Schizosaccharomyces pombe: one gene and its partner. Changing the gene in region 2 together with the main gene of any one other region gives a genetic interaction. Each region holds a gene or a part of one and is shown on either strand. Other genes may lie near its edges.

Region 1 (7,499 bases), on a different chromosome or scaffold from region 2:
GAAAATGTTATTGAACAAGCATTTTTATGCGTGGAATTTTTGTTGTGACTTACAGAGTAACACTTTTCATTAACCCATAAACTAGACGTTCAATAGAAAATTGGTCAATATAGGGGTGTTTTGTCGATTTTATGTCTGTTAAAGAGTCCCTATCATTGCTTAATTCTATGCAAGGAAATGTGAAGATTGGAAATGTGGAACCGGCCAAAGGGAACGAAGGTTATGTTGATAACGCTGGATATGTCGACTGTACAAAGTCTTACTTTGAAGCCACGAAATCTCTGAAAGAGGAACAGCTAGTATGTGATCCAAAATTTACATTATTGGATTCAATCAGTGCCTTTGAAATTATGGAACCGAAAATGGATAGTGGGATTGATTATCAGCCACTTCGTGTAGATTTTTCACGTGATCTCTCTTACTTGGAAATATTAGCGTTAATGGATTTAATTGTCTCTGCGGAAAAAGAGTGGCATTATGGATCCCCCTTATCAGAGAGCTTACTCTGTAGTGCCCATGTGTTCTCCATTTGCAAGTCGCCTATTTCACAAGTGGGTGACAGTGGCTTCTCCAGTGGTAGCGGAAGGAATACAACTGACATCGTTCTTTTCCCTTTTGTTTTGGCTGTTATTAAATGTTGCGATATTGTTCATCGAGAATTTCTGATGGGAAATTTATATGACGAGGAAGACATTAGTTCGTTTTCATATCACATGTCCTTTCTTCAAAATTACCCCATAGAAAAACTCAATTATCTTTTGCAATCTAGCATCGAATATTTGGCTTCCGAGGTTATAAAATTTTCTGCCGAGTTACGACAAATTATCGAGGGAATTCTCAATAGAATACAACTTCGAATTGGTATTTTACGAGTGTATGAAAGGAGTGATATTAAGACCACCATCGATGCTCTCCATCTGATCAAAAATTTGGTACCCGAGATTCAGAACACGGTTTCGGTAGTTGATTCATCTATCAAGGAGAGCATATTAAAGCAATATTGGGATTTTCGCGTCCAAGCCCAATTAGTTGCTACAGCTCCTGTGAGGAATATTCCTCCTACTGGCATTGAGCATTCTTATCAACGAATTTTGTATTTTGCTGATGATATGCTTTTGATTTTGAATAGCCACACTCTCGCTTCTTCCTTGGCAGTATATCAGTTTTGTTTAGATTTTACGAGATTGAATCGTACTCCAGAGCCTTACGTCCGTTCCTCCCTTCAAGCACTTATCACTGCTAACAATGCAGTTAATCTAAGGGATCAACCTACTTCGTATATGTTAGAATGTATTCGTGAGTTTTCTGGGCTTCCTTCAAATTTTTATAATCCTAACACCCGTACAGTAATCGAAAAAAACTCTATCTCATCAGCCTATGGTCCGCTAGTTGAGTCTTTGATTGCTCATTCAACTAATATCATGGTTGACCTTGTCCGAATTTGTTCCCACAATCCCTGTCGGTTCCGCCGTAATCTAATAAATTTACTTCCTGAAATTACCGTTGCTCATTTTGAAGCTGAAGCGCTTGATTTGAAATTCGTAGCAAAAAGCCTACCAAGTAATGGACCGTTTTCATCATTTATTTACCATGTTAAGCTAAATGCAATTGAGCATATCTTGCTTTCTTCCTTTGAACAAAAACTTCACCAACCATATCAATGGCCCCATTTTTTTGCTGTGCTTGATCATGTCTTTTCTATCCACCAGACTCATTTAGAGCTTCATGGAAAGGATCGTAATACCCCACCTATGGCCAAAACCTTTGTTACATATTTGCATCGAATATTGAATGCTATAAAGGAGACCTATTCTGGCTATTTACTAGTATGTATAAAGCTTATCGCTTCTTTTTTATTCTAACGATTTTAGCTGACGGTGCTTTGTATGCGGTTGAATATCATTAAAACTCCTTCATTTACTCTTGATGAAAAAATTCAAGAGTCATATTACATGGCCCATTATCGTCCTTTAATTAATTTGCGTCAACCCAAGCCACTACTTCGTTCGGAAGCTGATTGCATAATCAAAAATCTTCAAAATTTCTCTACGGATGATTTAATCATCAAATCTAATGAAAAATTCACTGCTGCAAAGAATAGCCTTATTAATGTTATAAAATCCGGTTTTGAACAGAATGAGTTCATCAACCCGTATTTCTTGCAAACCAACTATTTAAAAAATTTATTATGTTGCTGCATTACAAATCTGGTTTCACTTGCAATCTTATCCAAAGATCATAGTGCTAATCTAAAAATAGTGGAAATACCTGGAAATCCGCTCCCAAGTCTTTCACGTACATGAGGTGTTGTTCGTCTTTTATGTTAATAAATCAAAATTATCAAAAGTTAGGTTTTCAATATTTTTTTAATCATTCAATCTAATTATTGCTGACTATTTTAAAAACATTTTCCTAAAATCATCGTTGCTTTTAGGTGCATCTATCTGCATTTCTTTATCGTCTAAATCGTCCTTCTTAGAATTTATATTGGAATGATTGGAATTGAAACCTTGAAACGTTCGGCTTCCGAGTCGCCGTGGGCGTGTAGCAGAGGTATTGTAATCGGAATGATTCATACTAGATGGGACATTGTGCATCATTTCATTGACAGTGGTAATGTGTAGTAACCTGCCACCAATTTCATGTCCTTCTAATGCCAAGGATGCCTTTCCCGCATCATGAATATCCAAAAACTCTACTACAGCACCTTCATGTTCAGGATGAAGAACAACTCTATACAACTTTCCGTAGCTTTCGAATAAACTTCTAAGTCTAGCCTCGTTAACAGTCCCGTCGACATTAGTGACTCCTAGGCTTTTGCTTTTGATTTGTTCGAATGATTTTTTTGGCGTTGACATTTTATTTGACTCAGTAGTCTCAAAGCTTTTAGCTAAGGTTCGGTTGTCATTGGATGATACCCTTGTTTTCTCTAGAGATTCTCGAGGCTTCGACAAAACAACGTTCAAAACTCTATTTCCCAATTGCTTTCCAGCAGCAGAAAGTGCATTTTCAGCATCTTGATTTGTAGTCATTACCACATATCCAAAACCTTTATGTTGATTAAATCTTTTCGGTATTCGAACACTCTCAACCTGCCCATAATCCCTAAAAAATGTTTCTACGTCTTTTTCATTTACTTTAAAATCAATATTTGTAACGTAGAGTTCTCTACCCTCATAGACAGCACCGCTTCTAGGAGTTCGCCGAAGCGGGTCTGATATAAAGACTTGAATAGGATACTTCTCTTCCAATAGCTTCTTATGTAACTGCAGGGCATTGTGTGCCTCATCGGGCTTTCTCATTTGTACATAACAAAAACGCCTGTTCGTGTTATACCTTAGACTAGGAAAACGGACGTCAACCACATTACCATATGCAGAAAATAATTTGGTTATATCTAATTCATCATAAGTCGGAGGAAAATTGGTAACGTAGAGGTTCGTGTCTACATGAATTTGAACAGAAATTTCATGACCCCTTATCGATTTAAGGTCTCTTGTTTTAGCAGCAAGAACTTCACTGGTTTCAGAAAATTCAATCTGAGCCACTTTAACATCCTTTTGATTGTCTTCGAGGATAAAAATGCGTATAATATTACCACAATCTTTGAAAAAAATTTTCAACTCATTTTCGCTTATATCGGAAGGTAGATTGGTAACCAAAACTGTAAGTTCTTCCCTATTCCTGTGTTGCTCAATAGGTTTCGACTTTTTGAACACATCACCTTCTTGCCCAGGTTTTCTTTTCTTTGAAAGGGCGGCTGTATCATCAGCTTGAGGCACTTTTAGTGGTTCGGTGTTTTCGACAGTCTGCTTCGTTTCTTCAGCAAAAGAATCCAATTGACGTTTGAAGCTAATCCTCTGTGCATTTAAAACGTCATATAAATGTGATGTGTTTGTGAAACAGTCATTATTAAGGTCCATAATGGATTGATAAAATTGGAACAGAAGTTGAGGCTGATCAACGTTTTTGTAAAGGCTTTTTTTTAACGTCTCAGCCGCAAGCTCTGGGTTATACTTCATCGTACTTATGTATCGAGAAATCCAATATAATGCCTGATTTTGAAAATCATGAAACATATCAGACCAGCACTTTTCTACGCTTTCAAAATCAGAGATTTCTGAATATAAATAAATTTTTGAAAGTTCAATGCGCATTCTTGCATCCTTTGATCCCTTATGATTTTTTCGCAAATAGTCTTCGACTTTATGAATTTGATGTTTCAAAAATTCCTGTGGCTTATCTTCATTAGAAGACAAATATAGGCATGCTTTTAAAAATCCGCTAAAAAAATCAATAACCTCGTCAAAATTTACGAGCAAATTTGAATTCAAACATCGATCTTTCTCTTCACAGACAGCCGATGTGGATGCTCCAGAAAGCGTCATATAAGTCAGTTTAATGGACCAAATACGCCCAATCCATGAACAGTTACGAGTAGCTCGTTCTGCTACACTGGACGCTTGAGAAGAAGAAAAATCCACTTTACTAAGCCAGGCAGTGTATTGCAACCAGAGTTCCGGAATGAGGGGATACAAAACTATGGCACGCTCATAGAGAGTTGTTATATATTGTAACTCAGCTGTTGAGCGTCGCGATTCATCATTAATTAAATCCATATACGCTTCGAGAGAATGATTTGCGCTGTTTAACAATAGTTCTTTATTAAAAATTTTTGCATTTCTTTTAAGTGTAGTCTCATACACTTTATTGCTTTTCACCATAACATCCTCATATTCGGAAGGAGACCAGTTATTTGTGACAAACGTTGATAAAGAAGTAAACGTTTCTTCAATCTGCTCATGTGGAAGTTTTAATCTATCAATATGAAAATCATATATCTTGTTTTTAAAAACAATTTCTTGCTCTTCTTCTCCCTCAAATAGAGCATCACCGAACGTCTGTAAAAATTCCAAATATAACGTCCAAACACATTGACTCTGTAAACATTGATTAGTAAATACATTTTTATCATGAAGAAAATTTTTAGTTCCTTACTTTAGAAAAATGAAATTTGCAAGTTTGGTATGCACGTTCAAAAAGAGAATGGGCATCTGTCAAAGTAATAACGCCGTTTAATTCAGACTGTTCTTGTTCAAAAGAAGAAGTGTCCATTAAGTTTAGCGTAAATTCAAGATACATACACCAAATTTTGATTGACAGATAATCTTGAACTGCCAAATCAAACAATGTTTTTATCCTCACATAGTCGTCTAAAGTCCTACAGTTTTTGCACTCATCTAAAAGGTAATCTACCCACAAATCTAAAAACCATTAATAAATGCTTGTCAAAAGATTAACAAAGTTAAAGTAATTAGTGAATAATTTTTGCGAGTCTATGGAATTCGCCTCAACACGCTTTACCTAGACGATTGTTGATTGACATACCTTCTGAAAGTGGAAAGATCGATTGAAAAGTCTTTCTAGCCTCTGACAACTCCTTCTTTTTATCTAGACGCTTTAACTCTTCAATGAGTTTAATATGACTATCATAATTATAGGGATGTAAAATCGTAAATTTGGTCAATTCATCCAGAAGCAAAGGCTTTTTTTCGTTTTGTTCTTGTGGATCAATATCCATTTCGACATTCTCATCTTTTAAATCTTGTATTTGACTCATTTCGTCAAAACCGACGAAGACTAGGCTTTTGCTGGGTTCCTTAGGTAAATGTCATGCGTATAATGTCAAGTAAATTTCAAGATAAACACTAAAGTCTTAAAAAACAAGGGGAAGTTAAATGGAAAAAAGTAAAAAAGCAATTCGTTAAAATACTAGAAAATATTAAACAATCTAGGTTGATCCTAATATACAAGGCACATTGTTAAAAGGGAGAAAGAGATTAAAAGATTGAATAATAAAACTTGTAAAAATATGCTTCAGAACAAGATAGCACTACTTAGTTTGCTGTTAATATCTTTTAGTCATAGACCTAAGTTCAACCATTTTATGAAGTGATACATTTTTTCCTGAAGGAGGGAATTAACAACAATAGTTTGTAAACAGATATACATTTGTTTTATTATAGTAAACTTGTCTGTCAATTGGATTATGTGAATATGGTAAAACTCAAAAGTCTGGCAAATCTTGATCCTTATTTTATCTTTTCTGTAAAAATGATAGTAATATAATTTTTTGGGTAAAGTAATTTTACACTTCAGTCAGCTTAAAAACCTCTTAGTACTTAGAATAAAAATATAGTAAATAATGTAAAATTCTTTTATAAAAATAATGAAACAATTCGACAAATTAAGCCATGCAAACATCATAAAAAATTCAGTTCCTTTCAGAAGAATGAATATTTATACTTTAATCAGAACATGGTTTCACAATTAAACACAATAGATAAAAAAGGGTCATGGCATTGGTTTCCTGGATAAAAGAAGTTCTTTTTTAAATAGAGTTGCATTTTATTGCAACTCCATTCAAAATTCAAGTCTATTGCTTTAATATGAATTGTTTTCGACACCAAAATAAATAAAAGAATTCAAAAAAAAACTCAATTCCAAGTTTTGTATCAGTAAATTCGGAGCGCCGGCAAAGTATTCAGTTTGCCTGCTCTCCTTTTATTTACATTTTACTATAAAGTTATCTTGACATATATCGGCGAAGTAACATTTTTTGTGATCGGCTTTTCCATGGGGAAAGCGTACATTTATTATCAGACACCACCATGTTTAGATATGATTTGCCGAGGTAGATTATATATAAAAAACGTCGTCTGATCGTTCTGGCATTTTCATTTTTTGTTCCTTAAACTTTTATTCCTAATAGTATACGTCCTTTTTAAATCTCAATTTTGGGTTAACTTTATTCCACTCATTCTTTTTACGTTTATTAGATACGCGGAGTGAGCGCGTATAGTACGATTTATTCACGATTTTAATATTATCTGATATACGCTTTCTTCGTTTGTCCTATATTATTTACCTATTTATCACTATTTTTCTTAGCATCTTGCTTATATGCTCATCGTTATGAATAGAGGTTGTCGGTTAGTTTCACGTATTCCATTGGGGTTCAGAAGGCTGAAGAGAAATCCAAACCCTGGATTGAGGAATATACTTTGCAGAAGATATAGTCCGCTGGCCTTATCCAAGGAAGTGACAGAAGCCCTTAAAAACAACGTACCAGTCGTTGCCTTAGAATCAACTATCATCACTCATGGAATGCCTTATCCTCAAAATGAAGAATTGGCAATTCAAGTGGAAAGCAAGGTACGCAGCATGGGTGCGGTTCCTGCGACAATTGCTCTATTAAATGGACAATGTACTATAGGGCTTGAACAATTTCAGTTAAGCGAACTTGCTAAATCAGGTGAAACAGCATATAAAGTGTCTCGTAGAGATTTATCTTATGTTGCTTCCCAGAGACTCAATGGTGGAACCACAGTTGCTGCAACTATGATCTTGGCTAGAGCAGCTGGCATTGACGTATTCGCAACGGGCGGTATAGGTGGTGTTCATCGTGGGGCAGAAAATTCCATGGATATTTCTGCGGA
Region 2 (8,811 bases):
CCGCTACACAGTCAATTATGGTTTGCAGTTGCCAGACACGCGATTAACTATTTATTTAACCAGGCTTAGAACTACAGTGAGTTTTATTTGCGATTTAGTAAAGAGTGTGTATGCGATAGTAACGAACAACGATATTAATCATTGTTATGAGAATTTTAATAATATCATTCACACTGAACCTCATTCCTCAGTTCAGTTATGAGTTATATCGGTGACCGATACTAATAGACTTCTTATAACAATAAATATAATATTGTTAGTTAACATACCGCTTACCGCTATGTTGTAAGTCGCTAGAAATCTCGCCGCAGTGCTATGTATCGTTAAAGCAGATACCAAATTGCGTACTGACATTATAATTATACTACAACGTTTTGCTTCTCAAAAACGTTTAAGGAAATCTAAGTTGGGGTGAATAAAAAGGGCAGTGACAAAATAAATGTGTCAGAAGCAATTACATTAAAATGAGTTTTGGAATTCTACTTTTCACTTGCTATTATTGAAAAAACAGTTTGCTTTGAAACGAGTATTATTCATTTATTTATGTTGAACAGCTGAAATTGAACTCCAGAGCGAATATTCTTGATTTTGCTGTTTCGTTTGTCGCAATCATAGCAATTAATTCGCGCATGTGTTTTATTAAATAAAGAATGATCTTGATGAAATGAAGAATAATTACACTTCTTTGAAAAGTCCTCTAGATGAAGAAGATGAATTGAAGACAGATCATGAAATCGATTTGGAAAAAGGACCACTCCCAGAATATGATTCGGAGGAAGAGGGCGCATTACCTCCATATTCAGGTAAGAATTGTAAACAATAAGAAAGGAATTACTCAATGGAAAGTTGAAACTTGCCATCTTGTCAAATTGCATGCTTTGGTCATTGTTTACAGTCGGCCATGCAATGCACACAATTTGATACATGCTCTTTCTTTACTAAAGTATTTCAATCATATTAATTTAAACAGATCACGCACTTGTAAATAATCCTCCTAACACACATAGAGAAAACAATCCTTCCAGGTCGACAGATAATTCTTCCCCTTTCTTGATAAAACTGCTAATATCATTCACACCAATCTATGTACTGAATGTACTCGCAATTTGTTATCTAACGTATAAGGACGCTTTCTTTAAGGATTATGGTGCAGCAGAATGGACATTATTTGGATTTTGGTGTCTTGTTTGCACTTTGGCTTTAATATTCTTGACTTGTAAGTGAGACAATGGGTAATCTTACCTTCAGTCACTAACTCATTAGACTTCTATGAAACTTGGGTCAAGGCAGTTAAAGTAACTGTAATTTCCTTGGCAAAATGTGTAAAGGTGATTTCTATTGGCCTTTTCAACATAAGAAGAGAGATGATGATTATAATTTGGATACTCTGGCTAATCATTTGTTGTATACTCTTCGTTTACATCAAATCCGGCGATCTAATCTTAAACAAGGCACTCATCTGTTCTACATGCACTATTTCGGCTGTTTTACTTTTAATTGTATCATCTGGTAAGTGAAGTTACAATGCTAAACGCTGATAAACAGTTTGTATTCCATTTTGGACATTCGAGCGTACGTTGGCTAAGTTGGCAAAAGTGCTTTTGTTACAAAGTGGTATCGTGTTGGTACTAAACGGTACGATGTTTTTACGTGGTAAACATTTTGAACGGATAGGTTGTGAAATTGAAGCCTCTGTGTTATTTATTATGGGCAATGTTCTTTTTCTTTGCGAAATGGGTTCGTTAAATATTGCTTTACTTTATTCTAACCATGCCAGAATGTCCAGGTGCACTCATAAGAACACGAAACTCTATCAGGAATGGTATAGCTTTTATATTAGGTATGTGTATTCAACCAACTGTATGAATGATTTTTTACTTACCCGACTAGGAGGGATAGGAAATGCGATGATGGGGCTAGCAAATGCGATTAGAGGTGCCAACGATAATAATGACATTCCCTTGGGGGAAATGGATGTTGAAAGCGAAGTCTAGTTGCATTATTAATGTTGTGCTTCCGAACATCTCTATAATTGGAAAACTTTCTTTACGAAAATGGCCAACGCAAAAAAGCATATAAGCGATAGTTCATATTTTCCAGCTTTATCGCATTATATTTTTAACACATTCTTTTAAGTGTCACTAAGTTGTTTGTCCGATGTATTTACCTGAAAAATTTTAGTAAAATTTGAATGACAATTGAATGCAGTACTGCGAGATGATTTGATAATGAAATCAGAAAAGTTGAAGTTGGATTGGATATTTTTAATACTTTTTTTTTAAATTATTTTTGCAGTGTTTCATGAAATTTTGCTTTTAATGAGTCAAGATTAATTCCAACTATTTTCCTTTTTTAATAATAGCATTTGAATGTGTATAGGGTGCGGGACGTTAGTTCATCACATATTAAATACACTTTGATTGATGTTCCTTGTGTCCTACCATATCAACTGTCTTGTAGGAAAGGTCCATGATTTTTTTTTTAATGGTCAATCAATATTTTTAGGATGTCAACAAGATATCGTATAGTATCATAGCTATGCGGAAATCGCTCATTTACTGACTAAGGAATAGAGGTCAAAAGAGCTGGATTTGCAGGAACGCTAGTCGACAAAATAGATGTTAAAATCTTATGATCATAGTATGATGATTATCAGTATCATCCCATAACACTGTTCTTTGAAGAAAAGAAGCCAAGGATGAATAGTGGTGGTTAGCGATGCAAAGAAATGGGCGACAAAGTGTCAAATTCTTTCACTTTTTATAGCCAAACAACGACAAAACGTTTGTGCAAAAGGAATTGAAATGAAAAATAAAATAGAACAAAATAAAATAATTAATAAATAAGGCTCGAATCCTCAATGCTATTTGTTTTCAGTCTCCACGAAAAAGGTCGAGAAGGTTTTATTTTTTAAATTTGATACTTTTTAAAAGGATACATTGATGCATCGCGTAAAGAGCAAATAGTGTGACAATCCCAACTTGTTTTTTTAAGCGTTTATGCTTCTATTGTCGTTGCTCCGCTGCAACCTTTTTTGTGATAGAATACTCCCAGTACGTTACCTTACCAAAATTTAGAAATAAGGAATAAAGGATTGATACACTGCATTGTCTTATAAGGAGATATTGTAGGAGCGGTAGGGAGAAGAAGGAAAAGATGTGTGGATTGGAAAAAGGGAAGAAAAGAGTAAAGGAAAATGGAATGAATAAATAAATAGAATTGACGACAATTTTAGTAGTGAAAGCGGTTAGAAGGGAGGAAAAGGATTAGAAAGAAAAAGTAGAAAGCGTATTATGAAGTATTATTTTGAAGATTGAAGAATGCATTTTCTAAGTTGCTTGAGTTTACTTTATTAGGGATTGTATTGCACTTGCACTTGGGATCAGGAGTAGGATTGGCATTAGGATTAGAATAGGATTTGGGATTCCTCTTTGATCAAAAATAAATAAAAAATAAAAAATTAGAAAACTTCTAGTGCTCTCGCCAGAACTAGAACTTTTTCATGCAACGGAACGAGATGAACGGAGAAATGCGGAACCAAGATGAAGCAAGACAACAAGTCGATTAACAATGAAAGAAAAAAATATCAATATAGTCGGAAAACAAAAAGATGATTGATTAATAAGGAAAGTATGAGAAGGAGGCGGTAATTTTGCAAGCGTTTCAATTGCAATGATATTACAAATTCAAAGTAATAAAATGATAAACATACATAAACAAAAATAAACATAAATTAAAAAATAAAAAAATAAAAAATCGAAAACCAAAAAAAAAAAAATTTATTAAAAAAAAAAAAAAAAGACAAGAACAAACAAACAAGCAGATAGGGAAGTGGAAAATTACAAATAAAATTTAAAAAAACAGGGGAAGAAAAGTCAAATCAAGGTAGAGATGAATGATTCATCATGTTAGCGTTTGACAAATTAAAGATCAAAGAATTTATTAGAGATGATAAACAAGGGCAGAGCTGATTAGATGAAAGAACGATGGAGAGAAAAGAGAGAGGAGAGAAGATTAAAGAGAGAGAAAAGAAAAAAAAAAGAAAGAAATTAAAAAAAAAAAAAAAAAAAAAAAAAAAAAAAGGAAAATTAAATGAATATCCTCTTTTTTGCATGTCTCTTTCTCTTCTCTCTCTCTTCCTTCTTTTCTCCCTCCTTCTCTCTCTCCCTGCCTTCCTTTCACATACGAATATTAAACTACTTCCATGTATCCGAACGGGATCGTCGCAGGACACTATGGATAGGCCGGACGAAACAAAAGAAAAGGAAAAAGAAGAAAAACAACCGTCATAACAAGGATGAGGAGCCGATCGAACGACAAAACATTATCAAAGCGATTCCAGAGATTCCTTTAATAGCAATTTATCAACTAGCACAAATCATAGTTGCACATAACATATATCAACTAAGCACACAACATATTCCATACTAGCTAGCATATCATATATTATACTACCACATACCCTACCCTACCCTACCCTACCTCCTGCGAAACCAAGCCATATCAATAATGCCTTTTGCCTTTGACTTTGAAACGTCAAAAACAATGGAAAATTGAAATTTTTTTTTTCTGTTTTTTTGAATGAATGAATGAATAAACTGTTGAAGTATATTTTCATAGCATCTCTTTTTTTATTTTTTATTTTTTTTATTTTTCATCTTTCTATTTCCATTTCCATTTCTATTTCTACTTCTACTTGTTTTCTTCTTTCTCTCCTTTCTACTGTCTTTTTTCTCTCTCTTTAATCTTCTCTCCTCTCTCTCTACTTTTGTCTTTGTCATTGTCATTGCCTTGTTGCTCGCCCGCCGAAACAGCTCTTGTCACCTTTACACCACCCTTACATCGTTACCCATTCTAAACTCTGTTCGGTTGATTTCGGTTACAGAGTCGTCCGATTGGTTAAGGAATTTGTTCTTTTATCGTTAAATACCCTTATCTCGTTACCTATTGCCCACTAAAGCTTTAAGTTAATCTCTTTACATAATCATTGCTCGCCTTTGGTCCAATCATTGCGTCGGATATAGATCTCTGCTTATCTCGATCGTTACTTTGAACCAATCATTAAAAATATTGCTGTCCAATTGCGTCCTTGCATTTTTGCCGTTATCAAACTTGATAACCACCAGATTTTAGGGATGCTTAGAATCTGCGCGCATATAAAACCGCCGACTCTCTCCCCTACCGTACGGTTGAGACGCGGATAACCAACGTTGGCCTATTTCACCCTGCACCTTAAATCTAACGATATTCCAACCTTAGAGCATATCTTGACGCCTGACTTGCAGTGCATCTCTTTAACTTGAATTTTACGCATTTCTTGCTCTTGTGCGTGCATATTTGCTAGCTAGGTAGTTTACAAATTCAAATTTCTCTATATTTGTTTTTGTTTTATTCTTTCATTCATACTTCCAGTCTGTTGGATTCGCTGGTTCAATTTTTGTTCTCGTTGTTGATACGTGCATTTACATTTACATCTGCTTCTGCTTTAGCGTGCATTTGTTTATTTTATCGTCATCGGTTTTTGGGTGGTTGATACAGTTTTCTTTTTTTTGTTTTGTAATAGAAGAAAGAAAAAAATTTGAAAAACAAAAATAATTCAAAGTTCAAAGGAAAAGAAGAATAATTTAATTCCTTTTTTTTTTCTCTTTATTAATTTTACTTATTTTCTCGAAATTTGATTTTTCTTCTTTTCGAGTGTTTTTCTTCTTCTTTTCTCCCCAATATTCAAATATCGATCCCCTAATTTCTTCTTGGTCGTTCGATATATATATAATTTGTTGTGTTTTCTTTTTATCGTTTGGGTCCTTGATTTCCTAGGTGTTTTTTTTTTTTTGTCTCTATAGAAAAATTCCTTCCATTTATACATACCTTATTAGTCTCGATACTATTTTATTTTACTTTTACTTTTCTTCTTTTCGCCAACAAACCTCTTTTGTTTGTAATTTTTTTAATCCCCTTTATTTTGGGTTGTGTTGGTCTCTCTTCATTTCTTAATAGATAGACAAGACTTCTTGAATCATGTCTTCCACTACCGATGCCACTCCCACCCCTTCGGGTGTCAATGGCGGTGATTCCATGACCGTCAATCTTAATCAATTTTACAATAATGGTGATGTTGCCTGGATTCTCACAAGTACCGCTTTGGTGTTTATCATGATTCCCGGTGTCGGTTTCTTTTACTCCGGCTTGGCTCGTCGTAGAAGTGCCATTTCTATGCTGTTTTTGTCAATGATGTCTGTCGCCATTGTTGCCTTTCAGTGGTTCTTTTGGGGTTATTCGCTTACTTTCTCTCACGAGGGTGGTCCATACATCGGATCCCTCGCCAATTTCGGTCTTCGCCAAACGTTGGGTAGACCTTCTTCCGGTGCTTCCAGTGTACCCGACATCTTGTTTTGCGTGTTCCAAGGTATGTTTGCCGCCATTACTCCCGCTTTGGCTATCGGTGCTGCCGCTGATCGCGGTCGCATGTTTCCCTGTATGGTCTTCATGTTTCTCTGGACTTCCATCGTCTACGACCCAATCGCCTTTTGGACTTGGAATCCTAATGGTTGGTTGAACAAGTTGGGCTCTTACGATTTCGCTGGTGGCTCTCCCGTTCACATCTCCTCCGGTATGGCTGCTTTGGCTTATTCCATCGTAATTGGAAAGCGTTGTGACCATGGTACTACCAAATATCGCCCACACAACGTTCCCCACGTCGTTCTTGGCACCGTATTTTTGTGGTTTGGTTGGTTCGGCTTTAACGGTGGTTCTTCCGCTGCTGCCAACATGCGTGGTGTCATGGCTGTCGTCGTTACACATCTTGCTGCTTCTGTTGGTGGTATTGTTTGGTGTGTTATCGATTTTGCCAAGAACCGTCACTGGTCTGTCGTCGGCTTCTGTGAAGGTGCCGTCGCTGGTTTGGTCGCCATTACTCCTGGCTCCGGTTTCGTTCCTCCATGGGCTGCCGTCGTCATTGGTGCTTTAGGCGCTGTCTTCTGCTATGCTGCTACTTACCTTAAGAAAATCATCCGTGTCGATGATGCCTTGGATATCTTTGCTGAACATGGTGTTGGTGGTATGGTTGGCAATATCCTTACCGCTCTTTTTGCCGCTGATTACATTGAAGCTTTGGATGGTAGTGGTACTGCTTACACTGGTGGTTGGATTACTCACCATTACATTCAACTTGGTTATCAGCTTGCAGACACTGTCTCTTGTGCCGCATATTCATTCGCTGTCTCATGTGCACTCTTGTTTGTTATGAATTACATTCCAGGACTTTCACTTCGTGTTTCACGCGAGGATGAGGTTCTCGGTTTGGATAAGATTGAACTTGGTGAAAGTGCATATTATTACAAAGACTCTACTGACGAGCCTCCCCCAATCACTACAAGTGGCGTTCAATACACTTCTCCAACTGTTAGCGATTCCGCATCCAACGAAAAGGAGCAAGAACACAGAGCTCAAAATGAGGCTCAAAAGGAAGAGGAGTATAGAGCTGAATCTGAGGCTCAAGCTCCGGCTATTTAGGTTGGCTGTTTCTTCCCTTAATCTCGCATATGCTATTTTTTAATTATAGTTTTTCCCTAAAATTCCCCTTTCCCGTCTTTCCTGCTTCCGTTGTATTTATTTTCCACCGCTTAAAATTGATATTGTTTTACGAGAAGTGAGAGAGAATTTTGTCTTTTTTTCTTGCTCTTTTCAATGTGTGCTCCCCTTTGTATGATTTGCTCGCCCTCCCGTTTTGTTTTTTTTTTTACAAATTATTTATAGTTAATTTTGTAAACTGCTTTTTTTTTTTGGTTCCTTTAATTCCGAAGACGACGTTCATGTTAGTTTTCGCATGTGATAATAAGTTGTATTCGTTTCAAAAAAATATCTGCTTCAAGATGTCAACCGTACTGTCATTCATTCTTGTTAATAAAATGTGTTAGGAACATTAAGTTTGCTTTTGAAGAAAATTTGTAAAGTAGTTTGGTTGTGAGTTAACTTGTCAGTATAGTTTTCTTTTATTTTATGTCCTCAATTAAGTTGTGAATTATTTTTCTGTATTTTCTCGTTTCGTTCATTCGTAGAAGTTACTACTATCTGCTTACAAAATAGGTTCTGTGCTTAATATAAATGTCTCCATCCAGCCTTGCAACACAAACGTCCTTGGAAAGAGTTCTCATAAAAGCTGAATTCCAGTAACAACTTCAAAAAACTGATTGTAAAAGTGCTTTTGCTCTGTTGTTCATGGCAATTAAATATAATTTCCTTTCATTTAATATCCACATTATATATTATTTAACTCGGTCTCAATGCCAAGAAGACAACGTGGCCGAGTGGTTTTAAGGCGTTCGCCTGCTATTCTGTAGCCCAGCGGATTCCCTTTGGGAGCGCAGGTTCGAATCCTGCCGTTGTCGACATATACTTATTATTTATTTTTCGCAAATGAGCCTTTACCAGCCATTTACATTTTTTTATATCTATCAGTAGCTAAAACAATTCCTCCCGAATAGTCAGTCAGTTTGGGGCTGTACTGATAAACAAGTTAGTAGTGTAAATTGCAAGAGATCGTTACAATCGCTTTCTTTTTTACCAATATTACAGAGCTGGTGAATATACGAAAGTTTAAGACTAAATTTCTAATTTATTATAAGCCTATTCAATCATCAACATCCAGCAAATTTCTTCAATATATCTGAAAAGACGACTAGCCTATTTTTTTTCTTAGCTGACACTTTCCATCTGCTTCAATGTTTTTGTGAACTCGCTTATATTTGGTTAACACTGTAAGCACGATGTACGCTAAATATCACAACGTAACGTTAAAGGACGCGACGCGAA

The links. A genetic interaction does not mean that the proteins touch.
Region 1: mutations in amt1 (region 2) and prp24 together harm fitness more than expected from each alone (negative genetic interaction), as found in Schizosaccharomyces pombe (one large-scale study listed by BioGRID).

Annotation. Positions count from the first base shown.
Region 1 is NC_003423.3:4,133,588-4,141,086, forward strand, and holds prp24 (RNA-binding protein Prp24), read right to left. Parts: upstream 5,652-7,499; 5' UTR 5,621-5,651; coding exon 5,389-5,620; exon of another isoform or gene 5,265-5,388; coding exon 4,999-5,264; exon of another isoform or gene 4,941-4,998; coding exon 2,394-4,940; 3' UTR 2,373-2,393; downstream 1-2,372. Other genes in the region: naa35 (NatC N-acetyltransferase complex subunit Mak10), read left to right, coding at 132-1,826, 1,872-2,303; SPOM_SPBC1861.05 (carbohydrate kinase), read left to right, coding at 6,964-7,499.
Region 2 is NC_003421.2:2,063,788-2,072,598, forward strand, and holds amt1 (plasma membrane ammonium transmembrane transporter Amt1), read left to right. Parts: upstream 1-5,191; 5' UTR 5,192-6,018; coding exon 6,019-7,512; 3' UTR 7,513-7,920; downstream 7,921-8,811. Other genes in the region: wtf meiotic drive antidote-like Wtf21, read left to right, coding at 665-803, 971-1,216, 1,264-1,509, 1,546-1,737, 1,778-1,840, 1,891-1,994. UniProt on the Schizosaccharomyces pombe protein: Transporter for ammonium to use as a nitrogen source. Under ammonium limitation acts as an ammonium sensor, generating a signal that leads to pseudohyphal growth.